Caenorhabditis elegans: one gene and its partners. The protein of the gene in region 2 purifies or fractionates together with the protein of the main gene of each other region. This does not show direct contact. Each region holds a gene or a part of one and is shown on either strand. Other genes may lie near its edges. The genes, in order: lbp-2, acbp-1, F46H5.3 and dhs-21.

The links.
Region 1: the proteins of acbp-1 (region 2) and lbp-2 fractionate together in Caenorhabditis elegans (co-fractionation; one large-scale study listed by BioGRID). This does not show direct contact.
Region 3: the proteins of acbp-1 (region 2) and F46H5.3 fractionate together in Caenorhabditis elegans (co-fractionation; one large-scale study listed by BioGRID). This does not show direct contact.
Region 4: the proteins of acbp-1 (region 2) and dhs-21 fractionate together in Caenorhabditis elegans (co-fractionation; one large-scale study listed by BioGRID). This does not show direct contact.

What each region holds. Positions count from the first base shown.
Region 1 is NC_003284.9:3,256,351-3,263,716, reverse strand, and holds lbp-2 (Fatty acid-binding protein homolog 2), read right to left. Parts: upstream 3,108-7,366; 5' UTR 2,916-3,107; coding exon 2,598-2,915; intron 2,542-2,597; coding exon 2,428-2,541; intron 2,382-2,427; coding exon 2,328-2,381; 3' UTR 2,247-2,327; downstream 1-2,246. Other genes in the region: fbxb-71 (F-box domain-containing protein), read right to left, coding at 1-603, 647-714; lbp-1 (Fatty acid-binding protein homolog 1), read right to left, coding at 3,964-4,017, 4,076-4,189, 4,248-4,559; lbp-3 (Fatty acid-binding protein homolog 3), read right to left, coding at 5,654-5,716, 5,785-5,898, 5,945-6,126, 6,173-6,311. UniProt on the Caenorhabditis elegans protein: May play a role in sequestering potentially toxic fatty acids and their peroxidation products, or it may be involved in the maintenance of the impermeable lipid layer of the eggshell.
Region 2 is NC_003279.8:4,632,767-4,640,163, reverse strand, and holds acbp-1 (Acyl-CoA-binding protein homolog 1), read left to right. Parts: upstream 1-3,784; 5' UTR 3,785-3,822; coding exon 3,823-3,834; intron 3,835-4,100; coding exon 4,101-4,349; 3' UTR 4,350-4,418; downstream 4,419-7,397. Other genes in the region: got-2.1 (Aspartate aminotransferase), read left to right, coding at 313-605, 1,028-1,184, 1,724-2,076, 2,356-2,629; ssb-1 (Lupus La protein), read right to left, coding at 4,762-5,610, 5,666-5,874, 5,922-6,054; ubr-4 (UBR-type domain-containing protein), read left to right, coding at 6,817-6,934, 7,052-7,397. UniProt on the Caenorhabditis elegans protein: Binds medium- and long-chain acyl-CoA esters with very high affinity and may function as an intracellular carrier of acyl-CoA esters.
Region 3 is NC_003284.9:7,232,630-7,241,808, reverse strand, and holds the start of F46H5.3 (putative arginine kinase F46H5.3), read left to right. Parts: upstream 1-3,146; coding exon 3,147-3,185; intron 3,186-4,763; exon of another isoform or gene 4,764-4,907; intron 4,908-9,179. Other genes in the region: F46H5.7 (AMPK1_CBM domain-containing protein), read left to right, coding at 1-5, 572-788, 847-1,008, 1,061-1,180, 1,230-1,451, 1,501-1,722, 1,967-1,984, 2,224-2,304 and 3 more.
Region 4 is NC_003283.11:12,729,323-12,737,832, reverse strand, and holds dhs-21 (L-xylulose reductase), read left to right. Parts: upstream 1-4,187; 5' UTR 4,188-4,271; coding exon 4,272-4,329; intron 4,330-5,162; coding exon 5,163-5,272; intron 5,273-5,323; coding exon 5,324-5,624; intron 5,625-5,669; coding exon 5,670-5,788; intron 5,789-5,833; coding exon 5,834-6,001; 3' UTR 6,002-6,066; downstream 6,067-8,510. Other genes in the region: PAS domain-containing protein cky-1, read right to left, coding at 847-1,082; xbx-9 (XK-related protein), read right to left, coding at 1,854-2,407, 2,462-2,618, 2,880-3,027, 3,114-3,580; zfyv-19 (FYVE-type domain-containing protein), read right to left, coding at 6,110-6,399, 6,496-6,584, 6,965-7,233, 7,629-7,781, 7,828-8,004, 8,062-8,208, 8,253-8,312; mrpl-49 (Large ribosomal subunit protein mL49), read right to left, coding at 8,505-8,510. UniProt on the Caenorhabditis elegans protein: Catalyzes the NADPH-dependent reduction of L-xylulose, D-xylulose, L-(+) erythrulose, D-erythrose, D-threose, L-ribulose, 1,4-dibromo-2,3-butanedione and 2,3-heptanedione.

The DNA of each region.
Region 1 (7,366 bases), on a different chromosome or scaffold from region 2:
ATCAAGAACTCTTGAGTTGTGTGAGTTTTAGGTTCAAATACTGGAGTACAGAGATCAAGCGAGTCGCATTTACTTGCAATGTGCCTCATAATCTTTTGATGAAACAATGAGTCTGACATTTTTCTGGGATTCATAAAGCATCGAATATCGAAATCTCGGAACTCGTCGCAAATCGATTCAGTGCAATAGTTGTCTTTGTTTATTGCGAATTCATCAAGTTTTACTCGATTTAAAACATCCAGTAAGTGATCAACATACTTTCGTAATCCCATGCTCGGAATGCTCATCCAAATCACTCTACCAGTTGTTGAACTTTGGATTTTCAAATGCTCTCCGTTTCCGAACTTTTTCATTTTTTCTGGACCGTCAATAACTCCGTTGTGGATAAGTTGATCCATAAAAAACTGGGGATCTTCGACCGGAAGACTACGATGCATGTTGGAGAAAAATGTGAACTTGACTCGATCGTGGCGTTGGGTGACTTCGAATTTCCAGATTTGAACTTCCACAAAATCATTAATGTCTATTTCAACCACAGAGACGTTTCGATGCAGAGATTTTGCAAACTGTTTTGTCTTTTTCGAGACAAAAGAGAAATTCAATCTGAAATTGTTTAAATTTAATTATGATAAAGATAATAACTTACATTTCCAGAAGATCGCAGTGTTGAAGTGTGCATCGGAGAGCCTTTGAAGGTAGTTGTAAAATATTCATTACAGCAGAATGAGCAGTACAGACAAAATGACGGAGAAGGTTGAGTGGACGAAAGCGAGTGGAAGAAAAAAAGAGCAACTGACGTAAGACTATCCACTACTGTGCAAGATGACTCTGACGTACAAGGGAAAATGGACTATTCTGAATCGATATTAGGCAGCTGGCTTGTGGAGTATGGGAAGACACAGTTGACCACTGGAAATGCTAACCCGCGTTACCGTGAGTTACAATAATTCGTTGTCTACGTGACAATCCCTTTGCACGTAAGATATGACTAAAATTTCTCATTTTTAGACATATTCGTAATACATACAGTTGCAATGCAAAATGAAGACAAAGAAAATTTTGAAGGTAAAGCATTGTAAAGGAATTTTTAAAAAATGTATTTATTGTAGCAAGTGCCAAAAAATGTATACTAGCTTGTACGGACGTTTTTTTTTTTTAATTGATAAAAATATATAAAAGCTGATTTTTTCAAAAATTCAAAAGTATGGGAAAATCATATGGAGTCATTCTTTTTTATTTCATAAAACTGTTTAGCATAGTCAAAAATACCAGAATATGCTAATCAAAGTATATTAGCTTGTACGGAAGTTTTTTTTTTTAATTGATAAAAATATATAAAAGCTGATTTTTTCAAAAATTCAAAAGTATGGGAAAATCATATGGAGTCATTCTTTTTTATTTCATAAAACTGTTTAGCATAGTCAAAAATACCAGAATATGCTAATCAAAGTATATTAGCTTGTACGGAAGTTTTTTTTTTTTAATGATAAAAATATATAAAAGCTGGTTTTTTTCAAAAATTCAAAAGTCCTGGAAAGTCATATGGAGTCATTCTTTTTTATTTCAGAAAACTGTTTAGCATAGTCAAAAATACCAAAAAATGCCAATCAAGTATAATAGCTTGTACGAAAGTTTTTTTTAAAATTACATTTTTAGCACATTTTTAGCACATTTTTAGCACATTTCAAGCACATTTCTAGCACATTTTTAGCACATTTCAAGCACATTTTTAGCACATTTTTAGCACATTTTTAGCACATTTTTAGCACATTTTCAGCACATTTTTAGCACATTAATGGCACTTTTTTTTGTATGATAGAACATGTAGAATATAGGTGCTAAGTGATCTTTATCTCTGCATAAATAATTGAAACAAAATTAATGTGTAAAAATAGTAGAAAATTTTTTTGGTCCACTTTCAAAATTATGAGTGGCAATAACGGAGTCACTTTTCAACAGTAAATGAACAATTTTCCAAAATTATTGATATTTGGTCCTTTTGGCACCATAGGCGTAGTTTTTTGCCAATTTCCCACTGGTGCTACTCAACGTTTAGATGAAATCACATAAAGAAAACGACAACTGTAGTTTAAATAATGGTTGTTGCAGAATTTGGCAGCGAGATCATACTCTAGTGTTAAGTTTCTTACCTCAACATGTTCATTTTTTAATCTGTAGAAAATTAAAAACTAATAATTGGGATAATACATTCCACCAAGATTCCAAATTGAAAACATCAGAAGATTGCTTGAAAATAAATTTATTTTTTTCGGAAATGAAATTGAATTGCAAATTTAAGAAAATTTCAATAGAATAAGTTTAAACTTTTATGGGAGTCTCTTGTAGAATCTGCGGCCTTCGATATTGTTGAAGCTCATCTTCTGTAATTAACAAAAATGTATGTCAAATAGATTGACCAAATTTTACCTGAATAAGAAAATCTCCATCAAAGTAATACTCATAGGTTTCTTCCTTGGATTCTCCCTCTTCAAGTGGCTTGTGATGTTCGAACAAGTGTCCGTCCTTGAGAGTGAAGGTAACCTGAAAATTATAATTGAAATAAAAATAAAATAAAAAGTACATGGCATGGAACTCACCTCGTGCTTGGTGTTATCAAGACCCTCTCCTTCGAACTTGCTTCCGATCTGGACGTTTTTGTAGAACACATCTTTTTTCGATGTCAAGTTGGAGTAGTCGAAGAGGTTTTTGTTAGCATTCTTGGCAAAAACCTTCTTGAATGTCGCAAAGGTTACAAGCTTTCGAGTGAACCATCCGTATCCTTTGGCAGTGAGGTACTCATCAAAATTTTCAGAGTGATCCAAGTCGAAGGTTCCATAGAACTTTTCTGGAAGCTGTTCGGCAGCCACAAGGGTAGCTCCACAAAATGCGAGTAAGATGAGGAATTTCGAAGACATTTTTGTTCAAGTCAATGACTGAATGACTGAAGTGTCCACAGAAATGAAGATTGATCAAGACTCCGCCCAGTTGCTCAATCGACAACACAATAAAACTGAGGTCAGCCACGTGTGTAATATAGGGTCACGGCACGGATGGCAACAACAAATTGATGATCGGACTTACTTGATTTTCAAAAATCCTCACAACACCTGGAAGCTAATAATAAACAAAATTTAAGAGACCGAACGAAAACAATTCATCGATTACTTGTTGAAATGCAGAATGAATTTTGTCGAAATAAATTTAAACGCGTTAAGAAAATTGAAAAGAAAACTGCTACGTTTTTTGACTGCACATCAAACAATTTAAGACTTAAAAAAATATTTTTAATGAGGTCCTCAAGATCCAATGATTTTAGTTATTAAACTATGTATTTTGAGAAATGGTTCTTATTTAATGGTACCTTATTCAGAAATTAAATGTGAAAATCAGGAAAAAAAAAATAAAAAAGAGCATACGAAAGAGTAGAAAAAACTCCATTTTATAGAAAACTTTCGAACACAACATCGAAAAAAAAAAACCGAAAAGTGATTGGATTTTGACCCACCCGAAATTTTAAACTGGTTGTGTCCTTTTTGTGTTTTGAATTACGTTTTTGCAAATATCACGGCGCAATCGAACTTTCATGTTTTGATTCCAGCATAGGTTCAATTCATCTGATAATTTGATTCTTAATTTCAAGTCTTCAATGTGCAAAATTTTCTTTTTAACACTTGTGTCACTTTTACACGTTAACAAAAATTCAAATTTTAATCAACTTTGCTTTCTAGAACTCCTAATATGTACATTTTTAAACCAGTGAAAACATTTCCCAAACAAAAAACTTCAGAGGGCTATGCAGCATGAATCACAAAAGAACCGCGTTATTTTTCTTATTTTTTGCCCCATATCACATTACAGAATCGATCTAACTTTTCAGTTTATTTGAAACTTGAAATACATCAGTGGCAAAAAAAGTACATTGAGAAATCAATTCATACAAAAATTACAATAGTTTCTGAATATTTATGGGAGTCGTTTGTAGAATCGGCGTCCCTCAACTCCATTGAAACTCATGCGCTGAAAATTACAATCATGAGAATGTGAAATTGGTTTTTAAAAAATGTTTATAACTTACCACAAGAAGGAATTCCTTATCGAAAAGGTACTCGTAGGTCTCTTCCTTGGCGTCTCCTCCCTCGAGTGGCTTGTGATGCTCAAACAAATGTCCGTCCTTGAGGGTGAAAGTGATCTGAAAATTAATTAATTAATCAATTTGAAAGGTTACTTGAAAACTTGCAAAAGCGTACCTCGTGTTTGGTGCTGTCAAGTCCTTCTCCCTGGAAGGCTTTTCCAAGTTGGACATTCTTGTAATGGACGTCTTTCTTTGATGTCAAGTTGGAGTAGTCAAAGAGGTTCTTGTTGGAAGTCTTAGTGAACACCTTTTTGAATGTGGCAAAAGTGACAAGTTTACGAGTGAACCATCCGTATCCTTTAGCAGTGAGATACTCATCAAAATTTTCGGAATGGTCCAAGTCAAAAGTTCCATAGAACTTATCAGGGAGAACAGCAGCTGAAGCAGCTCCAACAAGAACCAGGAGAAGAGCGATTTTAGCGCACATGGTTGGCTAGGTCGATGAATGAACGACTGACGTCTTGGCAGGACTGTGGGCTGTGTGTCGACGTCGTCTGCGTGGACCCCGCCTACTTGCACAGTCGTAAACAACATTGTACGGCAAGAAGTGCAGCCCACATGTCGATTGCGCTGACGATTAGCAGAGATGGACGGCTGGACTCGGATGGGTATCGAAAGAGAGTGTAGCATAAATGATTCGGGGCAGATTTTTTTTGTTCCGTGTGTTGGGGTCAGTTCGGATATTTTTGAAGAGAGTAGTTGCATGAATCGGGTCCTGGAAGACCGAACAATCAACTCAAAATAATTTCGTTGAAGGTTTAAGGCGAATCGAATTGCAATTTCCTTATTTGGTTGATATAATTTTATGTTATCATTATCTTTCATAGTCTATAGTATGATTCTCCATTTCTTCAGCAAACATTGAATACGGCAACAGGTCTTCAGGTCTGCAGTTCAAAACACAATCCATGCAGGGCTGGGACTTTGGAAAACCAAAAAAAACTACCGGAAAAAATTATGAAAATTTTTATTCATATAGAATTCGACCCACAGAAAAAGAAAACGACTTCAGAAAAAAAGTTTTTTTGCCGCAGAATTTCGGTACATTCGGTTTTGGGTTTTTTTGGTTTCAAAATGAAAACGAAAAAATATTGTAAGGATCCCATAAAACACAATTTTTCAAAAATATTTTTAAACTTTCAACACTAGCTAAAATTTTTAAGACACAAAATTGTTTTTTTTTCTGGTTTTCAAATGTTTGAGCCCTATTCCCAGATGACAGAATTCATATTAGAGATCATTGTTTTCCAGATGGCCTTTCCCGTAAATTGGCCAATACGATTCTCACGTTTTATTGGGCTACAATAGACCCATCTACTTTGTACCTTGGCTAATCTGTTCTATGTCCACTTTCGATGTTTGACCTCCATCTGTTCATTCGTTTTTTTTTGTGAGATCATGCAATTTTTGAAAATGGCAGAGCAAGTCTAAAGGGACAATTGTTTATTTAAAAGGACAGAAAAAATAAACATCTGTGATTAATAATGTGAAGAGCTCAGTTTTATGTTGTGTTTATAATTTCTACTTCTTTCCGGTCGATCGCTTGAACCAACGACGGCACGTGATTCCATTGTTGACCATTTTCTAAAAATGAGAAAATTAGTGGAAGAAGTTGTAAAATGGAAAAAAGGAAAAGAGAACGAAGTACACACCATGACAAGTTGATCGTTCTCGATAGTGTAGTAGTACGTCTCCGCGCTGTGTTCTGGGTCGTTGAGTCGGATATGGTGCTCAGACAAAACTCCGTCTTTGAAGGAGAAGGTAATCTTAAATATAACAATATTTTTAAGACACTTGAATATTTTTTGAAACCTTGTGTGCAACTCCATCAAGGCCTTCTGCCTCGAAAGTTTTCCCGAGCTCCCACCCGTGGTAGAGTGTATTCTTCTTTGAAGTCAAGTTTTCCATGTTGTATTTTCCAGGAGTTTCATTTTTGGCCAGCACCTTGCTCACTTTTGCCAATTTGATCATTTGTCTCACAAACCAGCTCACTCCTGTAATTAAAATTACTATTAAATGTACACTATCAATTATTTTTACCTTTAGCAGCCAGGAACTCGTCAAAGTTCTCACTTCTGTCGAGATCATACTTTCCAAAAAACTTCTCTGGAATTTCAGAAGCCGCCTCAGCCATAATTGCTAAAAAGCAAAAGGAGAATAAAGTTAAGTACAGATTCATGACGAGTAAATGTATGAAGAATCGATTGGTCGCAAGAGCAGATGGACAATGATTTTATCTTGGGGGTTAGATCTATCTATATTCTTCTTCTTCACTTGATTTATTACATAGGCCCAATGGCTCGGTATCATTGAGATCCGAAATTGTGAGCATCTGCCTCATAGCCCTATGCTTTGAGTGTACTCTGGAGCACACAAAATGCACAAAATATATTACATTGGAATTTGGAAAGATTGGAAAAAAGTTAGAAAAAAAACAATTAACACAACTGGAGAATAAGAAAAAACAACTAAAATAAAAGGAAAACACTCTGCTATTACAACTAATATATTCAAATAGAACTGACAAAACGGGATGCGTAAGAAATGATAAGATGAAGTAGTGGTCGGACAGTTGTTATCAGTGTTGTTCTGCACCATCATCACTTGCATAATATGACTCCGCGCAGAACGGTCGGAGAAAACTGATAATACATTTGGTTAGCACACAGAAGTAGCAACTACATACAATTGATTTATGACGGTTAGAGGTTAGAAATAAAAATTGAAAACTGAGGCTGGAGAAAGCTGATCAAACAGAAAACTGTGGAACGGGGGAAACGATAATATGAAGAAAAAAATCCGCATTCCAAAAGCTAAATGTATTTCTAAAAGATTACAAAAACCAAGGGTATTCCTGCAAATTTGTCTTTGAAAAAATGGAAGAATACGGAAATGTGGTGCTGAAACGTATAAATAAAACGAATAGAAAAGGAACGATTAGACACCTGGAAAAACCGAAAGTCGCTGAACAATACAATTTTCGTAAAAGGACCGGTTTAGAACATTTTCAAAAAATTACTAAAATTCGAATTTTTTTCACTGTTTCTTTTGCCCTGTTTTTTATTGGTAAGTCTGCATTTTTAATAATTTTTCCATTGATGATAATTCTCCTTGGAATTCCAATTTGAATGGTTTCCATGAGCGCGACAGTATTACAAAATAGAGTTTTTGTATTCATGATATGTACAAACTCTGTACGTTTATTCTATAACATTGAATTCCAGTTATACTTAG
Region 2 (7,397 bases):
TTTTTTAAACCGTTAAAAAGTGAACAATTTTTGGTTTTTTAGTTCTAAAACACCAAAAAATCAATTTTTCGTCGATTAACCAAATAAACCAAATAAAATACCAAAAGTGTCACAGCCCTGATGAAAATAAGTTGGAAAAATTATATTTCTTCACCAAAAACACTTACTACAGTGAAAATTAGTTTTTTGCAAAATTTTTTGAGTTTTTTTTTTCAAAATTTTTGAACTCGATTCATGTCGATGTCCAAAAATTTTTGATTGCCGTCTCACCCTCGATTTAATATTCAAATTATTGTAATTTTCTATTTTCAGGGAAAACCATTCGTGCTCCGAGCGGTCCGCGAAGCTGAGCAGCAAATTATAGATGCTAAAATGGACAAAGAGTACTCAACAATCACTGGAGTTCCAGAATTTGCGCCATTGGCTGCGAAACTCGCTTTCGGCGACAATTCCGAAGTGATTCGCGATGGAAGAGTCTTCACAACTCAATCGATATCCGGAACTGGTGCTTTGAGAATTGGAGGACAATTTGTGGAAAAGTTTATTCCATCCAAGACTTTGTTTTATCCAACACCAACTTGGGCTAATCATTTGCCAGTTTTTAGGTAAATTTTTTAAAATTTTATTTTTATTTTTCGGAAATCATATTTTTTAAAAATTTAAATCTATTTTTTTTAATCGAAAAGTCGAAAAACGAAAATTTTTCGATTTTCGGGAAAACAAAAAATCGAAAAAAAATTGAAAATTAACAAGAATTTGCAGCTTTTAATTTTAAAAACTTGTAGCTAAATAGTTTTCGAAAAAAATGTTTTTTTTTGTTTTTAGATTTTCCAAAGAAGCTACACTCTTATCGAGGAAAAAAATCGGGTTTTTTTGAAGAGAAAATCGAAGAACCATACTTTTCGATTTTTTGATTTTCCGTAAAGCAAAAAATCAAAATTTCCATGCACTTGTTGTATTTTTTCCCCTGTTAATTTCTGTTTCTGTTGCTTGTTGTCCACTTCTCACCCTCACCTCCTCTATTCAGAAATTCTGGTCTTTCGATTCAACCATACCGTTACTACAATCAAGAAACTCTTGGATTTGATGTTGAAGGAGCTCTCGAAGATATTTCAAAGATGCCAGAAGGATCTGTTATACTTTTGCATGCTTGTGCACATAACCCAACTGGTGTTGATCCTACTGTATGTTGCTTTGTTGTGATGTTTTGTTTTGTTATTATTTCGGGCCAAAAATACGGTACCCGGTCTCGCCACGAGATTCGTTTTGTTACATGCGAAAAGATGTGCGCTTTTAAAGAGTACTGTAATCTCAAACTTTAGTCGCTTTGGAATTTTCAAATATTTTTCTTTTTTGCCATTAAAAAAAATGTATTTATTGAAAAAAGCGAACAAAAAATAGAAGCACTAAATGCTTAACAAATCTTCAGAAAAAGTATTAAAAATTCATTAAAATGCGAACGAAAGTTTAAAATTACAGTACTATCCAAAGACGCATACCTTTTCGCATTTAACAAAAAAAAATTTCGTGTCAAGACCAAGTACCGTATTTTTAGCGCGAAATTTCGAGTGCTAAAAAACTTATTTTGTGACGAGATACCGTAATCTCACCTAATATTTTATTTTGCACTGTAGATATTGTGAAGATAACTAACTTAAAACAAAAATAATAGTTTTTAAATTGAAGACTCAATAAAACTTTTCAAAACTCATTGAATTTTCAGAAGGAGCAATGGAAAAAGCTGAGCCAAGTGCTGAAAGAACGAAAAATTCTTCCATTCTTCGATATGGCTTATCAAGGATTTGCATCAGGAGACGTTGACGATGACGCATTTGCTCTTCGTCATTTCATAGAACAAGGACACAATGTTCTCGTTGCTCAATCATTTGCAAAAAATATGGGATTGTACGGAGAACGTGTTGGTGCATTTTCGATTGTTTGTGATTCTGCTGAAGAAGCGATTCGTGTTGGATCTCAAATGAGAATTATCATTCGTCCAATGATCTCAATGCCACCACTTCATGGAGCAAGAATTGCTTCACGGATTTTGAGTAATCCAGAGTTGAAGAAATCTTGGTAGGAGTTTCTGAGTTTGTGAAGTCAGAAATTTAAAGATCAGAAACTGAAAAAAATAATTTTGGACCAAAAAAAATGAGATTTGCGAAAAACCGGTTTCTAAGCGACTGATTTTCTAAAATTCCAAAGAGTGTGTGCCTTTAAAGAGTACTGTAGTTGCCGAAAATTTGCTTTTAAAAATATTTAAATAATGGGCAAATTAGCTATTTTTCAAAAAAATGGATCTTTTTTATTTTTGAAATATTGGAAAAACGAAATCTATAAAAATGATTATTTCAGGCTGGAAGATGTGAAACTAATGGCTGACCGTATCAAATCAATGCGTACGGCTCTAAAAGACGGCCTGAAAGCTGAAGGATCTACTCTCAACTGGGATCATATTACCAATCAAATTGGAATGTTTTGTTTCACTGGAATCAATGAGAAACAAGTTCAAAAGCTCATCAAAGAGCACTCAGTGTACTTGACAAATGATGGACGTATTTCTATTTCTGGTATTAATACTGGAAATGTTGCATATTTGGCTAAAGCTCTCCATGACGTCACCAAGTAATGATTTCTCTAAGTTCTCTACGTGTCTAAGTTTCTTTCCGGTTTTATTGAAATTCAGGTTTTGCTTTTTTAAAAAGTCTATAAAATGGTTTTTGGATTTTCTTTTTTCGTCAACATTTTTTCTTTCTTCTTTTGGGTTCACATTCCCATTATCTTATCTTTGATGTTTTTCTTCCTTTGTTTGTTTGTCTTTTTTTTTTTAATTTCAATCTGTTTTTTTATTTTTAGGCTTTAAATCAATTTTATTATTGGTGGGTGAAACTTGGAGTTTTTATAGTTTTGTAGTCAAATTTCTATTTCCAACAAAATTGAGAAAGTCTAAAAATTGTGGCCTTTATCCGTTTTTAATAAGATACGGAGCTCATTCAATGAGAAAATTTCAACTTCCTCCATTTTTCCATTATTTATATCAAAAATTGTTGTTTTTAGGGCTCCCGATCAAGAGTTTCACCAAAAAACTATTAAAACTAAAAAATATTTTTAAAAATCTAATTTTTCTTCCTTCCGACCAAAAATTGAAATTTTTTAAAGAGTTTTTAAGATCGAAAAACCAAAAAAAAATCCTTCTTTGCCCAAAAAAAAAAACGAACTTTTTCCTATTACTCAATTGCAGAATTTTGCGAGTTTCGACGCAACAACACGACACCTGGTCTTGGCACGATCGAAACCTTGCAGCTACAGTACCCACCAGCTTCACTTAATTGCAAAAACTATGCAGTTGTTGAACATGCGAGTACTGTAGCTGTGAAGTTTCAGTCGCTTCGAGACCCGGCACCGTATTTTTAAATTAACAATTGCTGGCGATTAGGTAATAACGCTTTTGCTAAAACCATCGGTGTCTTATCAAAAGTTAATAATTTTTTTCAAGAAAAGAACTGAAAATTGCCAAAATTTCTTTCTTTTTTCTAAACATTTTCATATTTTGTCCTTCTTCTGTGATGGTGTGATCACATAGTTTGATATTGACCACGAAACGTTGTTGTATTCTCAAAAAATTGATACGATTTTTTAGTGATAACAAATGATAAGAGTGTCCGTTTTTCTGACTGTATACTTCTAGTGCGTGGTTGTGTACGTCAAGATAAATACAATATACAAAGTGCCCTTTCATCATTATTTTTCATGTTTCATTATTTTAAAATCTCTTAATTTTCAGGTTCAAACTTTCAACAAGCTCTTCTCATCGTCTTCAAAATGACCCTCTCGGTAAGCTTCAAATTCCGATGTAGAAAATCCAAAATAATCTCAAATTCAGAATAATGACAACAACAGAAAGCAATAATTGTAAAACCGTGATTTTTCAATGTTGGCAAATTCCCTTCAAAATAGCGGAGGGAACTTAGTCAAAATTGAAAAAGAGACATTTTTATAATTTGGCGATTTTTTTCTGAATTTGAGACTACTTTAGATTTTTTGAAGCAAAATGTTGATATTTTCCCAATAAAATCTCACTAAGTCTTTTCAATTTTCAGTTCGACGACGCTGCTGCCACCGTTAAGACCCTCAAGACTTCCCCATCGAATGATGAGCTTCTCAAGCTCTATGCTCTGTTCAAACAAGGAACCGTCGGCGACAACACCACCGATAAGCCAGGAATGTTCGATTTGAAGGGAAAAGCCAAGTGGTCTGCCTGGGATGAGAAGAAGGGACTCGCAAAGGATGATGCTCAGAAGGCCTATGTTGCTCTTGTTGAGGAGCTCATCGCCAAGTACGGAGCCTAAATAAATTCTGTTTGATAATACGTTTTTTTAACATTTATATTTTTGTAATGAAGATTCTGTGATTCCGAAGAATTTAGACATAAAGTTGCCTATTTGATCAGCAAACTTGAACTTTCAGAAGAATGCATTTTCCATGTTCCCTGTTCCGAGTGATCTGCAATTTCTTTTTTTCCGGTCTGCTACTCTAAAACTTTGGTTTATCCGAATAATTTATAAATCAAAACCGCAACTCTTTTAAATTGGTAATAATACAGTAAAAGAGATGTTAAAAAGAGTGAGAAGTCAACAAAATGAGGGTATTCAAGATTAATGAATGGGGGGACAACACAACAATAATGATAACAACAAAAAATGGAGGAAAAAGTAAAAAAAAAAGAATGAGATTTTTGGGTTTGTTCAACAAAAGATGAAATTACTCGGCGGCAGCAGCAGCTGGAGCACCATCCTCAGCGAACACAGTACGCTTAGCCTTTGGCTCATCAGATCCATCTGCACCTTCATCGTTTGCTGACCGCTTATCACCTCGGCGGTCTCCGCGTCCACCTCTTCCACCACGACCTCCACGACCACCGCGGCCTCCTCGTCCGCCACGACCACCGCGTCCTCCACGTCCACCTCCTTGCCTCTGATTCTTTCTGGCATTGAACTCTGTCCAGTATTTCTCCTCCTCTTCTCCATCCAAAACTCGTGCGGAGAGCTCAGCCTCTTGAAGAATGACTTTTCCATCAGTTCCAGCTGCAACAGCGTTGTCCCAGGCCTTCTGCGCTCCTTCGCTGTCATTGTTGAAGCGGATTTCGGCTGTTTTGCCTCCATTTTCATGTGCAACGTATCCAACAGATCCGTGCAATTTGAAGAAAGTCTTGATGCTGTCAATAGTTGAATCAGGTCCAAGTCCATCAACGGCCAGAATGAGACCTTTCTCGTAACGGACAGCGTGCTGAGCCTTTTCTGATTCAATCGCTTCAGAAGTATTCTTAGCTGATTTGGCAGCCTTGTTTGCAGCACGAGCTTCCTTGGTTTCTTTGTTCTTCAGAGTCCAATACTCATCTTGCATCATCTTGGTCAACTCTGTCTCTCCGAACTTAACTTCAGCCTTTTGTGCGGCTTCGGCCTCCTCTCTAGTTTTGTAAGTGATGAACACACTTCCTTTGAAGGTTCTGTCTCCTGGCTTCAAGCGACGCATAAGAACGTTCTCGGTTTCTCCGAATTGATTGGCCCATTGAATAATGTCGTCCAATTGGGTGTCAGTGCTGAATCCTTTCTGAAAAATGAGAAATTGATAATGTAAAGACAAAATCAGAAAGATACAAACGTACCATATACACAGTTCTGTGCTTGATTTTTTGCCAGTACTCCAACGAGTTCTCCGGTACTGGATTCTCTTCGTTTCTGCGGATTTTCTGGTTGTCTTCGGAGACGCTGATTATTCCCGAACCAGAGTTCTTGACAGCGTTGGCAATCTTTTCAGTGTCCTTGCTGATCGAGGCTAGGCGGTTGAAATTGAGCATCGTGGTAATTGGGACCCCTGAAATGAAAAATCAACAATCTTAGAATTGAAGAAAAACAACTTACATCCATCGTCTTCCTTGAGTTTTTCCTGGAGGAACTTGTCTCTTGGAAGATTGATGTTTCCGAAGTAATACTCCAATTGCTTAATGATCTTCTGATCAGCATCGTCGTGAACGGCGGCAGCGGTCTCACCCATTTTCTTGCTGAATAATACAAATTAACAGAGAATACAACAGAAACGAAAACGAAACAGAAGAAACAAGGCATGTAACATTTTGGAACAAATCTTACTTCAAACTTCGACTTTCAGTAATGCGAAAACTCATTTAACGTGTTTTCTAATTCCTGAAGTTGATTGCTCGATAATTAAACTGAACATAATCAAACTAGGTGAAATTAGGCCTAGAACGCCTAAAAACTAGGGAATTTGAGATTTTCTCGAAGTATATTTTCCAAAAGTTGATTATTTAAATATTAAATGTTAATTTTAATTTGATTTTCTTTTAAAAAATGTAAAAAAATAAAGGAATAACAGCGACCGATAAAAAGAAAATATAAAAAATGTGTGCAATGAGTTTGAAGTTTCGAAAATGATTTTTTGCAACCCTGGCACACACTTTATGCAAAAACGGCGCACGCAATTGATGCTCCGCCCACTTGTTATTTATTATTTTTGTTCGTTTTTTTGTTGTTCTTCTGTTTTTCCTCTGTTGAGATGGGAAATTTTGATGAATTTTCGATTAAAAATAATAATAAAATAACGAAAATTTCGAGAAACAAAAGTTTCAGCTGATAAAACTTTGTAAAACAAAGAAAACCTCTGTATTTCTTTTTTGTTTATTTATATTGCCTCGTGATTGCGAAAGTTAACGCAATACATCTTGCTTTGTTGAAATATTATATCGATTTTCTAATCAATTATTTCCAGAAAATACAAAATTAATTGAAATTTCGATTAATGGATCCGCGTGAAACGGCAATCGGACTTGTCCGATATGTCACCGAAAATGCGGCAAAGGATTTCGACGGAGAATCGATTGCAGCAATTATTTACAGACTACGGGTTGTTGAAAATTGTAAGGAATTCTAGAATGATTTTATTTACATGCTTTTTTGGGTGGAAAACACCAAAAAAATCCTTTTTTTTCCAACAAAAAAAACCCTGATCCGTTCTGAATCTATTATTTTTCCAGATGTAAGCAGCGATGTCGACATTATCTGCGAAGCAATGCGAATTTTAATCAAAAAACTTGTAAATCTACCTCCAATAACATTTTCTCCGGATGTTTGGATGCCTATAATGACATCTATAACCGAAGGTGCAATTGAACCACAATGGCGAATCATGATGGAATCAATCGATATTTCCAAGTTTTCTTCGACTTCTTCTAATTTTGTGCATATGGATTCCATTACTGCATCTTCTACAAAATGTTCCGAACAGATCACATCAATTTGCAAGGGATTCGCTCTTGAATTCGGATTGACTCGTCGACTTTTCTCAGCTATTTGGAACACTGATCTTGAAGAAACAGCGCG
Region 3 (9,179 bases), on a different chromosome or scaffold from region 2:
TTTCGGTAATTGGTTCTATTTGGTTTACGTGGAATTTGGGGTTAAAAAGACCTATATTCGCAAAATCGTTTAGGAATGAGTATCATGCATGGGGCAAATCCAAACATGAAGCCCATTTCAAAAAAAAAAACGAATTTTCCGTTAACAGTGAAAATTTTCTTTATTGCCCCAATAGTTGCCACTATTTTCCAGAGCTGGCAATTTAAAATGGATTACTGTATAAAATTTGTTTAATGTTCTACCAATTCAAAATATTGGTTTTAATATTCTTGAAATTTTGACATATTTGACTGAGTAACATAAAAATCTGATCATCAAGCCAAAGTAGTATTTCGTGTTTTTTTAAGTGCATAGCTTTGTAACAGTTTTGAAGTACCAGCTAATTTTTTTCCTGCTCAATCAAAACACGATCGCAGCTGTGTAAACTGTGAAATCTCCAAATGCTTCAAAAGCGATCTGACATTTTTTGTCCAATTCAAACTTGTAAACATGTTGTCGGTCTCCGAGTGGTACATTTGTGACAAATTTGACCGGCGAAATTGAAACAAACAGAGAATTTGCATTATTTTAGCTGCCGCGGGACTTGGTGGAAGGTCACAAAAGGTGTATGCAGCTGGAAAGACCCGTGCTCGTAGTACTTCAAAGAAAAATCAGCCAAGAAGCCAGTTTGATGCTCAGCCTGAAAATGTGAATATCAGCGAGGAGAGCGAGGGAAGAGACTCCGAAAAGGAAAAGAACGACCGACAGCTGGAAAAGCTGAGAAACCGAAATGATGAGCTGAAAATTAGGTAATAACCCTAATTTCTCAATATGTTTAAATTTTTTTTTAATTTTTCAACTTAACAGAGTGAAAGAATACAAATCCGACTTGTCAGCCGCTCAACTTAAAGTCAAAAATCTTGAGAAAAAGTTGGAATCCGCCCAATCGGCTGATTCTGAAGAGAAATTCGTTCGAATTGATTCGGAAATCGACGAGAAACGATCCCAGGATCACGATGAAGAAATCAAGTATGATAATCAAAATGCACATTTCACGTTATTATTTAATTAGTTCTTTCAGCAACTTGCACAATGTCATTGAAGAGCTTCGAAACAAGTTGGCCACTGTTGAATCGAAAAATAAGGATCTTGAGACCAAATTCTCCGAGAATCAAGATTATTTGAAGAACGCAAAAGACAAGTAAAACATTTAAAAGTTCAAGAGTTAATCGGAAAAAAAATTATTTTAGGGTAACATTCTTAGAGAATCAACTCAACTCCGACGCTCATGAAGAAGTGAAGAGTACCGCCGTCAGAGCACTAGAGGTTAAACTCGGCTTGGCCAACAATTCAATTCGTCAAGCTGAGGCTGAGAAGCAACAGCTCCAGGAGGCTAACTGGTACGCGAACGAACGTGTCGGCAAGTTGGAACAGGAGAACGGATATTTGAAGGGAATCACTGAACAATTGAAGTAAGGCATTGAAATGACAAGCAATTTTTAATTTAGGGTTTTCTTTCAGGGCCAGAGCAGACACCTCACACGCTGAAAAAATGCTGAAGGACAGCGAGAAGCGTGTCTGGGAGATCAACGAAGAGAAGAGCAAGCTGGAGTGGCGTCTCGGTGAGCTCTCCCAATGGTGGAACGATGCAAAGTGGAAGGTCGGCGAGTTGGAATCCTCTGTTGCCCTACAGAGAAATTTGCTTGACACGGCAAACTCGAAGATTCAAAGCCTTAATGATCAGTGAGTTTTCTTTGGAGTTGGGGTCAGAGCAATACGAGATTGAATGTTTCATGAATTTAAAATATCAAAAACGGCGCTTGTAAATCATTTCATTACATAAAAATAAAAACGAAAAATTGCATGAACATCTTTGATCACTTTCTAGAATTACCCAAAAAAGGACTTTATAAAAATCAAAAACTGAATAAATTTTCAAAATAACAGATAGGAAACTTTAAAGAATTTTTTCATATTTCATTTTTAGGTTAATACAGGAAGTGAGGTAAGGAATACAGATTTTATTGAACTACTTGTAACTTAACGTCTGGAAAGCAATGCACTTTATATTTTTTTTTCTGAAATTTGCGGAGTAGTTGAATTGAAAACAATACTAACTATGTTTTGTTTTTCTTATTTAATTTTTAAAAATTGAAACGAGTGTACAGTGTATTTGACGGTGTGAATATAGTGTTCCTCATCCAAAGCAATATTTCATTCGAAATCGAAATTCCAATAATTTAGGAGTCACTCCAGCACCATGACCATTCCCACCGACGGATTCACCATTAGCCAAAGCAACCAAGGAACTTGGAACCTTGCCAAGTAAGTTATACCAGTGGTTCTCTTGATATCACTATTCCAAGTATTTGCAGCGGAAGTAACCAGCCATGTTTCACCGGAGCCATCCCATCCATCCCACTTGTCTCAGCCCTGCCATTCGCCGGAGCCAATCCATTCATTTTTGGGGGAGCTAACGAAGGAAGAAATGTAACGTTGACCATTTCGAACACAGAGCAGGAAGTTTACTTGACGGTAAGTTTTTTTTTGCCAAATAGGTCTTCATTTGATTTTTCAGGGAAGTTTTATCAACTGGAAATGCACATTGAAATGCGAGAAACTGGTTAGCGGCAAGAAAGGAGTCACGGTCAATTTGACGCGTGGAAGGTAACAACATTCAAATTCAAAACACAAATTTCAAGTAATAATTTTAGACACGAGTTCCGATTCATGATCAATGGCGAATGGGCGACGTCGAGCGACTATCAACAGGTGCCAAACGGTTTGGGCGGACAGAATAACATTATTTTTGTCGAATAATAATTATTCCCTTGATCACTTAAATTGAATTATTTTTTCTTACCTGTCAACTTTGTTTCCATTTACTTCTCCTCATTTTTTGTATCTTTATTTCTTGTTTGTATTACATACCACTCCATTCAAACTTATGCAGTTAACCACTCTATTCACTAGATTGTGTTTAGAAAATTGTGAAGATTCTGAATTTTTTCGGGACTTTTGGCATTGCCATGATGTGAATGAATATTTTCGGTTAATATTAATTCAGATTTCAAATAACTTTTGTTCAATATGTAAAGTTTTTTTACTTAATTTTTAATAATTGGTTGTTTTTTCTCAATTTTCCGAATTAAATTTTTCAATAGAAGATGTTACATCGATGCTCGAGAGTATTGTCACAATTTTTGGTAGGTACTTTGCAGTGGTTTTGTTTCACGTTGACAACTACCCTCAATACATAATATGGCGTTTTATGAAAAAATTATAAAGAAGTTAACATATACTTTCGGGCACAATTTTTGCAGTACTCTAACTATGTACTTGATTGAAATCTCAGCAATCAAGTAAGGAGCAAATAATTCAATTAATAAGTTCCATCCTCTTTTATTTAAAATAGTGTTTTTGCGCATTAATTGATTAACTTTAGAAAAAAATCAACAAACAAACAAATTTGGAAAATGTAAAAGTTTGTTGAAGATCTAATTTTTTCCAAGATAAATTAATTAATTTACAGAAAAGTTTTTTGTCCTATATCTTTTATTTAAATGTTTTTTTTTTCAAAAAGTTAAAATCAAAATATTCAAAAATATTATGAAAATGTGCTATTCAAACTGACGTCCTACACGTTTTCAAAAATTTCAAACTTTAAAACACATTTCCATATTCACCACTAGAAAAATATATATTTTTTTAAAGTAATCAGGTGTTAGTACTTGGAGTCTAAAATTTGCAAAATTGAAAGACTTGAGATAAAAATGAAAATGACGAATAATTGAGAATGTGCAAGAAATATTTTAATTAAAGGCTTCGCATGTGTGCTGAGTGTTTTCAATGTGTTCCATCTTTGTGTGTGGCTTATTTTTCAACAAATTTTTTTTCGACATTTGTTTTTTTTTCGCAGAAAAATAATATGAAAGTTTTGCATTAAAAAATGTGTTGATCAAAAATCTTTTCAAAAGGTAAAAAGGCAACTTTATTTTTGTCTGATATATAACATTTTGAAACACCTGCAAATGAAAACGCAGTCAAATTCCCATTGCACAATGTCTATTCGATTGCTGACAAAAATATACTTTCAGTATTCAAATTAACGTTAATGGCTCTTTTTGTTTGTTTACACTCCCAAAAAAACATTGTGTTCGTTCGAACCAACTGTAATAGGTATGAGCCTATTTCAATAATTATATTTTTGTTTAATTCCAGCAACAATAGTTTTTTATTTGGTGACACGATACATAATTTGTTTGTTAATCTGGTATTTTTGGAGTTTATTCCAATTTTGATTTCGCGCAATCAATGCAGTGAAATAAACTTTGTAAAATAGAAAAAAAGACTCTGGAAAGCTTGGTGATTATGTTCATAGCTAAAAATATCACAAGTAGGTTGATGTTTATGTCTAGATTGAGAATTAAATTATCTTGATAAAATCCACCATTTTTTAAAAACATTTTTCTCAACTTGAATATTGTCTAAATTATAAATTTTTAGTTAAATGTTCTATTTTTCTACTTTTCAATATAATTTGTAAAAATGTATTTTCCAAATTCTCTTGTTTTAGAAAATCCCCAAATCATTCAATTTTCAAATAACTCGGAAAAACTCAAAGTTTTATTACGCGGAGATCAACCTTCCTTCTATCTTCCTGTCTTCTCATGTAACTTCTTATCCCGTATCCCTTTTTATCACTTTTTCTGACTGTTTTCTACTGGCTCATCACAACGTTGCGTGAGCCTTTGGCCGATAGAGGTTAACTGTGTAAAGCATGTTCGGCAACTTCGGGAAAGATGGATGCCGATGAGAGCAGGAACAGATGGCATTCGACGGCAATGAAATAGCAGATGGCGGTATGAGAGTCTTTTGAACCTCATCCTCGTCGGCTACCACTTTCTTTCTTTTCACAACATTTTTTTGCCATACTCTCCGATGGCCGGAAAACAATTGTTGTGTAATATCCAGCGTTTGCGTGAGCCACCGAGTCTTGTGTCAATTCGAGTAGAGGAAAAAAGTGAAGAGAAATAAATTACCCATGTGTCAATTGTCGTTGGTCAAAGAACTAGACTGAAGAAACAAGAAAACGACCCAGAACCAGGAAATAACACGAGAAATGATGAACCTGTTATTTAGAGGAAGAAGAACCGTTCGAAATTGTTGCTCAAAGAGACAAAAAATAGTCTGAAAATGGTGCATTCCATTATGAGACTTTTCAAAAATCTCTCGGACACATTGTTGCAGTCTAAAAGTAACGTGGGTGAACGCAGAAAAAATCTTCAATTTTTCCATATGGATGTGTCGGCTGGATAAAAAGCAGGGCTACATGTAGATATGCATAACAAGTGAAGTCTAACAAGTTGTTTTTGGCGATAAATGCTGAATCGCAAGCCACTCACAAACTAATTATTTTATGGAAGTACAGAAAAAAAATTATTCAATGCCACGAGATTTGAGAAGAAATCAAAATTTTAAAAATTGGACTTTTGCACACCTTTCAATTTTTTGTGTGTTTTTTTTTAAGTGGAAAATCTAACGAGTAACTGAAAGTAAATATCTTTTCGAACAATTGAAATGAGAAAGTGTATAAGTATTGAAAAATCTTTTTTTTTAACTTTGATTACTTTTGCTTCTCGAGTTAATAATGGGTAAATTTACAGATTTGTCATAACATACAACTTGTGCTTGTTTCAAGCAAAATGTTTGAAACTTAATAATTTTTGGCAATCGAACCAATCGAGAATTACCTTTTTCAGTTTTGCACACCCCACTTTAATAGTATTTTTTCACCTCGGCACATCTTGAAATTGTAGTAATAATAATTCAGTACAGAAATAAAAGAAAAAGGTTAAGTTTGTTGTGAATTATACATTTTTACATAGGACACAAAAGAAATAAAATCCCCCGAAGATTAATAATGGTGCGTTTATTAATAGAGGTTATAATGTTTTTTTTCAACAGCGCATAACTGTGTGTGTGTTTCAATTTTTTTTTTAATTTTGTAGCGAGGCAATTGAAAATATTTATTCAGATAGTATTATTTTCCAAAATGAAAGGATGAAACCGTGGGGAGGAGGCGTGAAAATAGATAATCCTTGTTGTGATTAGTGGCACATTCAAATATATTCGATAAGCCGTATTTGGGACAATGGTTGCCAAGACGACGAATACCTGAATTTTATCCAAATCTGAACGAATATTTGGCAGTGTTATTTTTACCTTGATACTTATCAACCTGAAGCTAAAGTAATCTGTTTTTGTTCATATCCAGGCTCAACATATTTTTTTTCTTCTGGAAATCTGTCGTTATAAGTTTTCATTTTCATTGTTCATTTCTTGTAATCAAAATAATCAGAACTGATGTTCAAAAACCACTTCTTTATTTTCTACCAAGTTATTCATCATTATCTTTCACAAAGTCTTAGAAGACATTTGAAAGGTTCTGAGAGATTTTATAGGTTCTGATATCAAATCCATTCAGCACTTATCAACTGTTGACAAACAGTTTTTCATTTATTTGCCACGTCAATTCAAGTATATCCACGATTTGATATATCTTTCCAGCACGCACAGCCCACACAACCACCATGCACAGCGCAGAAACCAAACCGTTTCCTGCTCGAACTCTGCATCTCTTTGTCTCTCGCATTTCAATTGTCTTCCGCCTTTCTTTCTCAATTCAGTAAGTTCATTTGCCGAGTATTTATGAATGGGAAGAAAGGGGAGAAGGAAGGACGGGCGCCGCGGATGATGGCAGAAGGCCCCTCGCGGACCTCATGCTCTTTCTCAATTCCCGAGACACTAGGCAAGATGCGGAGTCGTAGATCCGACTGGCAAACAACTTTCTTCTCTATCCAATGTGTTTTGTGTGCGTATGTGGCAGTTGGCAAGAAGGCAAAAAAAACGCGCGGCGCCCTCCGCGGCACACTAAACCGAGAAACCGAGTGAAATGGGAGAAGAAAGTGTGTTACAAATCGGGAAGCAATAAGAAAGAGAGCAAGAAAGTGAGCTTCAGTAGTAACATGTTTGTATGTTCTTGCTTGTACGTGGCCTTCTCCCGATTGATGGTCATTGCAAAAAACGGTGTGCAGTCGCGAAGTGTTTGGGGTCACGTACACACCTGTAGAAAGGCAATCAAAAGTACAAGGACAGAACTGTAACTTAATATTCTACCGGAAAGTGTGTCAGGGCAACGTGCACGGCATCAAATCACAATTGGATAGATGCCGTTTCTCCACAGCCGTTATCTGACCTCGCGCACTTTGTAAACAGTTGAAGGAAAATAGAAAGAGGAAAACGACTGTTGGTCAGATGTTATACATCTTTCAGTTTCTATCACTATTTGGGTAGTAAGGTCAACAGCTGCTTCCGGTCAAGTCAACTGGAATTGCTGAAGAGTTTACTTTTTACAATATCAAAGGAAAACTGCAGATGAACGACAGACTTGTCTGAAAACTGAAATGACTTGGTTTTCAATTCCTTATTTAGTCTCATAATGCTCCGTGAGCACGAATTAAGGATCTAACACAATTCGCAAGTCAGAAAACGGCTTAATTTCGAGTCGCTCTGTTGTGCCCGGCTTCGTTAGCGATGTGTGGATCGTACATTCACAATACAATTACTGCAAAACTCCTGGATACATCGCCAACTGACTGTCCCTAGATTTCGATTATCCTGTGTAAATTGTTTTTTGGTGACACTATTTGCAAAAATCAACATTTTAAGAACATTTTTTTCCATGATTTCATAGTATTTCAATTTATCACATTTGATAGATGATTCACCGAATCAGAAACAAAATACATTTTTGTTTCACACTGACAACAATCAGAAGACCAGTGCCACGTCATTACAGCCCTATGTTTCGTTGTCCAATATTACACCGAGAATTGTGTGACTTTTTGTGCGGATCAAGTTACCCTCGGGAGAAAAGAGAATGGCATGATGATGCAAATCTGAAACTGAGACCAAGTGACAATGTGCATTCTTGTGCAGATTGAGGGTAAAATAATCTGAGTGAAACGACATACTTCAACACTTCAACATCTGGAATTGTATTGAAGAACTCTAGATAAGAATAGCGTTATCAGCAATGATGTACATCTGTAAACAAGCCATTGTTGTCAGGCCTCTAGGCTTTCAGAAGTGATCGTTTGATTTTTTTTTTTGTAGAAAGTCTACTATGTAAATTGGCAGCAATCTTAGTCAGAACAATGCAAATCGAAAAATCTAGATGACGTTCCGTAAAAAGAGCCAAAAAATTAATCTTCTCTATTTCTCTCATTTTTTTGAATAAATTTCTTTTGGGACGTAAAGAACAATAAAATATGCATTGTGTGTGTTCTCGACCCTTCTCTTCCACACTTCCAAACATCCAACGCTTCCAAAGAAAAAGTGACTGTGGTCGCTCGATGCCCTCTTTTGATGCAGTATTGATAGAGAAATGATACAATGGTAGAGTGAGAAACGTGAGGTTCGTCACAGAAAAAACACAGTTCGCGGCAATCAAAGATAACCCCAAAACCAGTGATCTTTTGACGCAAACATCTCGGGTGAGAAGTTGCTTCTTGGAACTAGAGTCTAAGAAACCGAAACCGAAACTTAATCAAACATGCTGTTTGTAAAACACTCCCTCGAGCTTGCTCATGAATAATTCAATTTCTCGGCACAGAAAAATATGGATATGAAAGGACGGAAGGAAGAAAAAAGAGCTGGAGCTGTGGAGATAGTTGGGAGACAATTAGTAGAGTGCTTCACAGCAAAAGTTTGCCTAATTGGATTTTTATTTCTCGTGGGAACTTGCACAATACTCTAATTAATATTATAGAAATCAAAGTATCAACGAAGTGTAAAGAACTACCGACCTATTTGGTTCACCGGCGGAATGTAAACAAATTCCACCCTTACCCTGTAGACAAATGGACCTTCCAAGCAATCTCTTTTTTTTTGGAAAAAATATACTTTGAATTTGAACAAAACGCCATTAGGATCATCTTTCAGTCGAATTCATAAATCCAAAATCCAAAATCCTGCTCAGACCCACAAACACCAACAAGTGTCTCATCTTTATCATAATCCTCTCACACTGCGCGCGTCAACAACAATTTGGCGGGTGTCGGTTCTATTCACAATTACCAAATGTGTCTGCGTATCTCACTCTTGCACACTATCGCACTATGCACAGTCTGTTTTCG
Region 4 (8,510 bases), on a different chromosome or scaffold from region 2:
TGACGTCAGAGTGTCCGTGCGGAAAAAGAGCGGAGCACGGAAAGTTCCGCGCGGAAAGAAAAAGGTCTTTGAAAGAAGTTGGTCAAACTTAGAACATGATGACCCTTTAGCGGGAGGTGAAAGGGAGACAAGAAATTGAAAATGTTTATTTAAGAACTGGTTAGGTTTCGAAACTTGTAAGATATCCGGGAAGAAATTTGAGCTTTTGAAAATTTGGGATTAATTGTGAAATCATTATCTTATCATAGACATAGACGAACATAAGAAAAGTTTTAGACCACATTATTGTGGACTATATACATCTTCCAACTAGGCCTAAAAATACCTACTCTCCTGCTTACACGCATGCCATAAATAGAAAAATAAACAGAAGAGAAACTTAATTTGTTATGAAAAATCATACTGTAAGGGGTAACTTTGCAAAAAATTCACTGCTCAAATTTAAGACCAGATACGGCTGCCTTGTTGGAACGCTTTTTAGAATTTTTAAATTGCATGGAAGACCTAGTAATATCCGTTTCTTCACTTTATTGTGAATATTGAATTCCTCAAAATGGTATTATTAGGCTTTGAACAATTGACATCTAAACATTTTGTTTTTGAAAATTACTGTCAGCTTTTTTAAATAGTCAAAACCTAATCATATCCACTATGAAAAATAGAACCCCTGCAAAATTATTGAGCAAAATTATGAAACTATAAAACTGATGGCATGGATGGAGGATGAGTTTCTAGGATCTAGGATTTCTAGGATGGTTGAACTGATAATTGAACTTAGCAAAGTTTTCAGAAGAAAGATAGAAAAATAAAGTTTGAAGTGGAATGATATAATTAGATACAACTCACCTTTGCTGGCCATTGACTAAGTTGCTCCCATTAGAGCTTCCTGCTGAAGACATTCCCATTGTATTATTATTAGGAACATTAATTGAATTGTTGTTAAGTGCTGAACCACTACTGCCAACCGATGCTCCAACGTGATAGGCACAATGTTGCAGTTGAAGAGCTTGTTGAACTCCGCCTCCAGCTCCGGTTGTTCCGGAAGAAAAGGAAGAAGCATGTAGAGGCACCGTCGTGCTCATCTCTTTCTTCACGGAGCTCTTCGTGCAGCCACGCAGACTATGCGATATGTGCGGGAACACGGGCGATCTTCGTGAGGTCACGCCCTGACCATCTACCTCCCGAACTCCGCGCGGACACCGCGTGTTACGTCACTGACTATCTCCGCCCGCCTAGAAAAGGAAAGCACCTCTCTCGTTTCGAATGGACAGTAATCCTCACTGTACTTGAGAGAGCCATGGCCGCGGCCGCGACTGGCGCGTCCATTGTTTGCTCGATCACTCTCTCTTACTTTCATTTACTCTCTCAGATTTCAATTTCACTCATCTCTTTCATTTTTCCATCTTGTAGGTTAAGGAAGTACGGGGGGAAGTACCTAGTTACTGCCCCCCAGGTACTGACCACTGTCTCTGCACTCTTTGTTTATCAACACGGAGGTGAGGAAAACCGCTAGCTAAGCGGTGCCAGCATGTTGCAATAGGTAGCAAAAGTGAGTGTACACTGAGAAATGTGTACTTTTCTTTTTCCGCATTTTGACCTTTCTAGGAAATTGAGTACTTTTGGCGTATGTTAAGTGATACTTAGGGAGAGCATTAAACAGGGTTAGTTTTTACTAATTAAAAAAAAAGCTAAACACACATAATAAACAGTTATAATGAGTTCTAAATCATAACTTTACTGTCGTAATTATGCATTTACCGGAGTTGTTTTTCATTTTAACTTTTGAAATTTGTTAACAGGGAGTTTATTTAGTGAAAATGAAAAATTCAAATTAACTTAAAACTCTTAAGCTCTTAGTTCACTTGAGCTGCAGGATGTCCGTTATCATATGCCATTGATGGAGTATAGACAATTGTTGTTTGCATGTTTTGTGGAAGTTGAAGCATACCAGGAGCGAATCCGATTCCAGGATACATTGGTGGAGCTTGTGGATGACCATGAGCTGCACCATGAGCTGGCGAAGGTACTTGGTGGGGAATTGGCATGGGTTGAGGATGTTGAGCGACTGGAGCAATAGCATGATTAACTGGAGGATTTGGAGGTGTTGGTGGTGGTGGACTCTTTTTCTCTCCGGTATCCATTAGCAATGGTTGATTTTGGGTTGCGATGAAGACCTTGTTCTGTGTGGCGGTTGGATTTCCAGTTGGGTGATGTTGACGACGAATCCATTGATCAATGGCAAATCTTGATGAAACGGTTAGGAAGAAGGCAACTAGCATGAACAGGCTCATGAACAAACGAACAGTGTCAAATGTCAGAAGTTGAATTGCCAGTGCAGTGTAGTATACAGTTTTTTCATCGTCCGAGTTCCAAAGGTATGGCGCGAAAAGTTCGGCGATTTTCACATCTGAAAAGAATACGATAAAACCAATTAAAATTCAATTCAGTTGCAAAAACTTACAAAACTCAAACCATTGAGGAATATTCATTACAATTACAGCAGCTGCTCCAAAACCAAGACGGCTACGTGCATCATCGACAACTGGATCACCAGTCAGAACTGCCATGTTTGTTCCGGCTGCTGGTTTTGGTTTGCACATTAATCCAACACACAAGCACTGGAAAACATTTTTGATTTTCTATATTTAAATTTCATTTGAAGGTGGAATTGTTGAATTACTGTCAATAGATATGTGTAGGGGTGTAGAAGTAAAGTGCAAAACAATTACACTGAAAACGATCTTTAAATAGGATCACACCACTTGTTGGCTTCGGTTAAATTTTCTACTATTCTTTGGATTTTTTCACACTTTGTTTAATACCTCACTAATGTATAACTGGGCACTGATGTCCACCTTTAGAGATCAAAAATAGATTACCACTAGAAGCTCGGCAATGATTCCCACTGTGCACAAAAGGTAGGTAAAAAACAGTGCAGAAGCAGGAAGTGGGTTCCATTGGGATGCGATGAAATGATATGAACCAGAGAGTATAGCAGCAAAGAAGAGCACAGCAAAGTAAGATGTCCTGGAAAATATCGGAGGCATCAACTATTCATTTAACAAAAAATGTTATTCAAGATTTTTGCTGTGTCATTCTAACCATTTTCTTACCATGAATCACAAGGATTAAAGTTTTGTCTTTTCCTTGCAATTACAATCAACGCCGAGAGAAAAATCACAGATCCAATGGATGTAGTGAGGACTGCTGTAGTGTAAAACCAGTTGAAGAACATCAGAAAAACCATGTACCACCATCCATAAGCTCCAAGCATGATACTGTAGATAGCCAGTGCAATCTTGAACAGAGATGACAGTCCAAGTGGAATGTAGACAATAGTCAGAAAGACCTTCGTGATATCACGCTTCATTTTCAAAGAAAGCAGAAAGAAAACTGCGATGATTGAAACTTCAATTGCGGAGAGTCCAGCTCCAATTGGTCCTCCGTAAAATGCTTTCTTTGTGTAGAGTTCATCAGGAAAATCACAGCTTATCTTCACTTTTTTCTTCACAGTTGTTGAATTACAAAAAAGAGTGGTAAGTAAAGGAAGACCCGGGACTGGGTCCATGTCCGTCGACATGGTTACACGATCTTTATATCACTTCAATAGTTGGGATTTTATTGAAGCTGAGATTGAGAATAAGAAATGTGGCGAGTTGAGTGGCTAGATTGAACAGGTGAAATGCCATGTTGCTATGGTTACTCGTCACGAAGTTTCAGCTGTTCTTGGACGCAGATCTTGTGATATTGAAATTGGTTGTTGATGTAAAAAAAATTAAGACGGAGACACTAACGAAGCTAGCCAAAACAAACTTTTTACGGAAGGTTGAGCTTAATGTTAAGTGGGACATATACGTTTGATGGTACCTGAAACTACCAGGAAAGTATGATATTTTGCAAGTCTTTGAACTTTTGGGATCATTTTTGCTCTTGAACTCATCCTCTAATATATATCATAAGCAGCAAAAACAAAGTACTCGATTTTGCTGCTTATGATATACTATTTTTTGAAACGAGCGTTTTAAAGAAAATTGTGTACATTGTTTCGGTGCTCAATAGTTTCATTGTTACATACTTTGCAAAATGAAAGGGTTTTCCCTGTCGATCTCGAAATAGAAACCATTATGACGATCATCAATACACAATTGGACGCAGATTGTTAGAGGAATGGCATTGATAACAAAAATAGTCACAATATAAAAGTTGATCGTGTTGGGTAGAATGGGGTAGATACTACACATTTTCTGATATTCATATCATCTGACGAAACAATGCCCGCCAATTACGATTTCACTGACAAACGTATACTTGTCACAGGAGCAAGTCAAGGTAAGTCTTGAGATGTTGAAAAAGTTAAGATGGGTTGTTTCAATACAAACCAAATACACTTGTTTTGGGTTCCATTTAACAAATATGAAATTGAGATAGCTCACTACAGGAAATAGACTTGATATTTAGACAGAAAGTTATGTTGAGATAAGTTTTTGTACCACTCGGAGTTGGTGCCAACTTATTGCCCAACTTTTGACCTATAGTTGAAAACTTCACGGAAAACGTCAAATCTCTTTTCCGACGATTGTTCTATGTTTTGAGTTTAGATATGTTTGCAAGGTTTGAATTGAAGTTGACCAGGTTTTCCCTGGTCTAGTATAAGTTTATTTGTAGTTTGAAGTAAGGAAATGTTAAAAATTATCTGCTCAATTAAAAAAAACCATTAAACATTTGGAGCCACTGAATCAGTTTTCTGAAATCTCATGAAGATTTGTACTTTTTAAGTTTTCAAAATGTTTAATCCATATTAATTTAACATTTCAAATTTAGGCCAATGTGATAAAAGACCGATGGTCTCTCTGATTACTTCCGGTGTAATTATGATCTAGTTCAAATGGAGAGGAAAACGTTGATATACGATAATATGATAACACTATAATCTTTAATCAAAAATTTGTTGTATCATCAACATTTTATCATTCCGTTTGAAAATTATAATTATTTTACGATTATGTTTGAGGAAATTTCTGGCATTGAAAACAAGAGTACATCCTTCCTAGTCGGTAAAAAATATATTACGCGAACAAAGCTAAAAATAGAATAAAAATCGTTCATGAAGACTTCCGATGGGGTGATTGTGAATCATACATCACAATTTATCACATTTGCAGGAATTGGAAAAGAAATCTGCCTTTCGTTGGCCAAAGCTGGAGCGCAGGTTATTGCATTCGCGAGAAATGAAGCAAATTTGTTGAGTCTTGTCAAAGAGACTACTTCTTTGGTAAGTGAAAATATAAAATATTACACCAATCTGATTAAATTAATATTTCAGAGATATACAATAATTCCAATTGTTGGAGATGTGAGTGCCAATGAAGAGGTCCTTTTCAAACTTATCGTACCACATTTCCCAATTCATGGTCTTGTAAATAATGCTGGAATTGCAACAAATCATGCAATTGGACAAATTACTCAACAATCAATTGATAGAACATTTGCAGTCAACGTAAGGGGACCTATTCTCATTGCACAATTAGTTGCTAGAAACTTTGTGGATAGACAAATCAAAGGATCAATTGTTAATATTTCATCACAAGCAGCCATTCGTCCATTGGATAATCACACTGTTTATTGTTAGTTTAAAACTTTACTGAAATAATGTACATCTGAAAGTTCAGGTGCATCAAAAGCTGCTCTTGATATGGTCACAAGATGTCTTGCAAATGAATTGGGATCCCAGAATATTCGAGTTAATAGTGTCAATCCAACTGTTGTGATGACTGATATGGGAAGAGATGTAATAATTTTCAAATTGAAAAGAGAGCATAATTAGACTTTTTAGAACTGGAGTGATCCTGATAAGAAGAAGAAGATGCTCGACAGAATGCCGATCAAACGTTTTGCTGAGGTTGACGAAGTTGTGAATGCTGTCCTTTTCCTTCTTTCAGACAATGCTTCAATGACTACTGGATCCACTTTGCCTGTCGATGGAGGATTTTCGAATAACTAAAGTTTTTAATTTTAAGATTGAGACGATGTATATAGGTGAACAATAAATACATTTATTTACAAGAAGCTCGTAATTTAACATACATAGAAAAAAGATAAATAATATTTACTATTGTTTTGAATCTTTTCTGAACAACTTTTCAAATAATCCCTTTTTCTTCGGTGAGCTCGAGTTGCTCGGTGTTGACGCCTTGTTTGATTCCGAAGTTTGAGGAGGCAGATCTTCTGAATTTTCGGCTTCGTGAAGAATCTTTTTGAAAGTCTCTTCGTCTAAGGACTTCTCGTCTTCATCTTCATCTTCATCTACAGATAATTTTTCGTTTCTTCGATCCCAAAATCCACCAATTTCTTTCGTGATCTTATCATTCCATTGAATAGCGTCAAGAGACTTCTGACGAGCTGAAATTGTAGCAAAATTAAGAAATTAAGCTGGCAGTAAAAAGGTTTGTAAAAGACTGTGTTGAAGAAATATTCAAATTTTCGTTTTAAACTTACTAGATTTCATGAGAGTTCTGAGTTCAGCGGCATCATGTTCTTCTTGCTTCTTGGTTTCAGCTACACGTTGTTCTGCGTCTTGAAGAATACTGGAATACTATTGAATATGCGTAAAACTTTAAAAGTCTACAGCAGGGTTAGTACTTTTTTGGGGTTTGTTTATTTTTGTAATATTTCGACGAAAATTTGTTTTTTTTTTTGGTTTTTGTGACAAAACACCAAAAAACTAATTTTCTATATTTTAAACACTTTTCATATTTTACAAATGTTCTTTAGCAAACTGTGGTTTTCAGTTTTTGTAAAAAGTTCCAATTTTCGAATCCAAAAAAAATTTTGTTTGATTTTTTTTGGTTCGAATTTTTCGGTCCCAGTTCTACAGCTTGCTGACTGAATTTTATTGAAAAGTATTGTAATTCTCAAAAAAAACTGTATTTCAGTTTAATTTCAAATAAAAAATTCACCAACTCACTTATTAATCTCATTCATTTCTTCTTTCGTTGCTTCACTAAACTCTGTGTTTGCAGAAACCATTGATTCTCGTATTGAAGCATCATCTTCTCTATTTTTTTCTTTTTCATCTTCAAATATTTTCCTACGTCTTGCTTCAAGCTCATCCCAGTCTTTATGTTCCATTTCCTCTTCTTTTTTTTCAATTCTTGCACGATCTTCAGCTACTCGCATTAATTCAGATGGATTATTGGCGTTCATCGCAGGTTCCTTGGAAGAAGACTTTAGCCACTGAAATGTTAAAAATGGTATTTAGGCGTAAAAAATCAACTTCTGAGGTGGACGGCAATTATTTTCGGAAACTCTACAAAACGACCTACTGGCCAATGTTTTTCTAAAATCTTACAATAAAAATTAGTGTCAAAATATAGAAAACTATTTTGTTTGAAAGAAAATAACATGTATTTCAGTTGAAACGCTTGAGAAAATTCACGAAAACGGTCTGAAAGTTGTTAATTGCCGAAAACAGAGCTCTTTAATTTGATTATCTGCAATTTGTAACTTTAAGGTCATTTTAAACACTTTTTTTTAAATTTTCAACTGAAAAAATTATATTTTCAGATGAATCAAGTAATTTTCTATATTTAAGACACATTTTTAATTAAAAACATCCTTGTCCAACTTACACTTTGAGGATTACGTATCACTTCTACATCACATTCTCGAAGTTTTGCTAATCGTTCTTCAATTTCTGATATACTGAGTGGTTCAATTTGTGGTGAAATATCTTCTCGCAGTTTAAGTCTTCGCTGTTCCAGGTCATTGGTCGGATAATTTGGCTGAAAACTGAAAAATAAATTAAGAAAATTCCGTGACGCTAATTACCTTGGTCTGCTGCGATGGAATTTCTGGCGAATTCCTGAATTTAGTTGCTTTGACTTCACTATTTTTAATCTGATTTTGATTTGTGTGCGAATTCCTGAATGATGGCGGTGGAAGTCCATCACCCCACCAATTTTTATTCGATTTATTCGAATTATCTGGTAGAGGCGTTGATGTTATCTGAAAAAAATCGTGGGATTAATATCTATTTAGTTTTTACTTTGTTCTTTTTCTTACAGTCGCGCTGGGCTTCATTTTGGCAGATTCCAATTTTTGATAGCAATTGTTACAGACAATCATTGGTAAATCCGAAAGTGTGGGAATAATTGCACGATGAGGCAGACATTTCTTACAGAAGGAGAGAGCACAATTCGAGCAGCCGGCCTGAAAAAATAGAAATTAATTAGTTTTTGATGCCAGAAAATAACTTCTCTGTTTAATAATGAATATTTAGTTCTGCAGTTTGTGCAACAAATTGAGGAAGGCATTCTAGAGAAGAATTTCGGCATTTCGCAATGATACAAAATGAAGAGAATAAGGAAATGACGGTGAAATAACCGGTTTGAAGGTAAAAATGATAAAGTAGACAATTGAATTTTTCTAGTTCATTCTCCAACAATAAATTCACAACAAAACAAATCTGCCTAGATAAAAAACTAAAAGATATATCAAGAATACATCTAGAA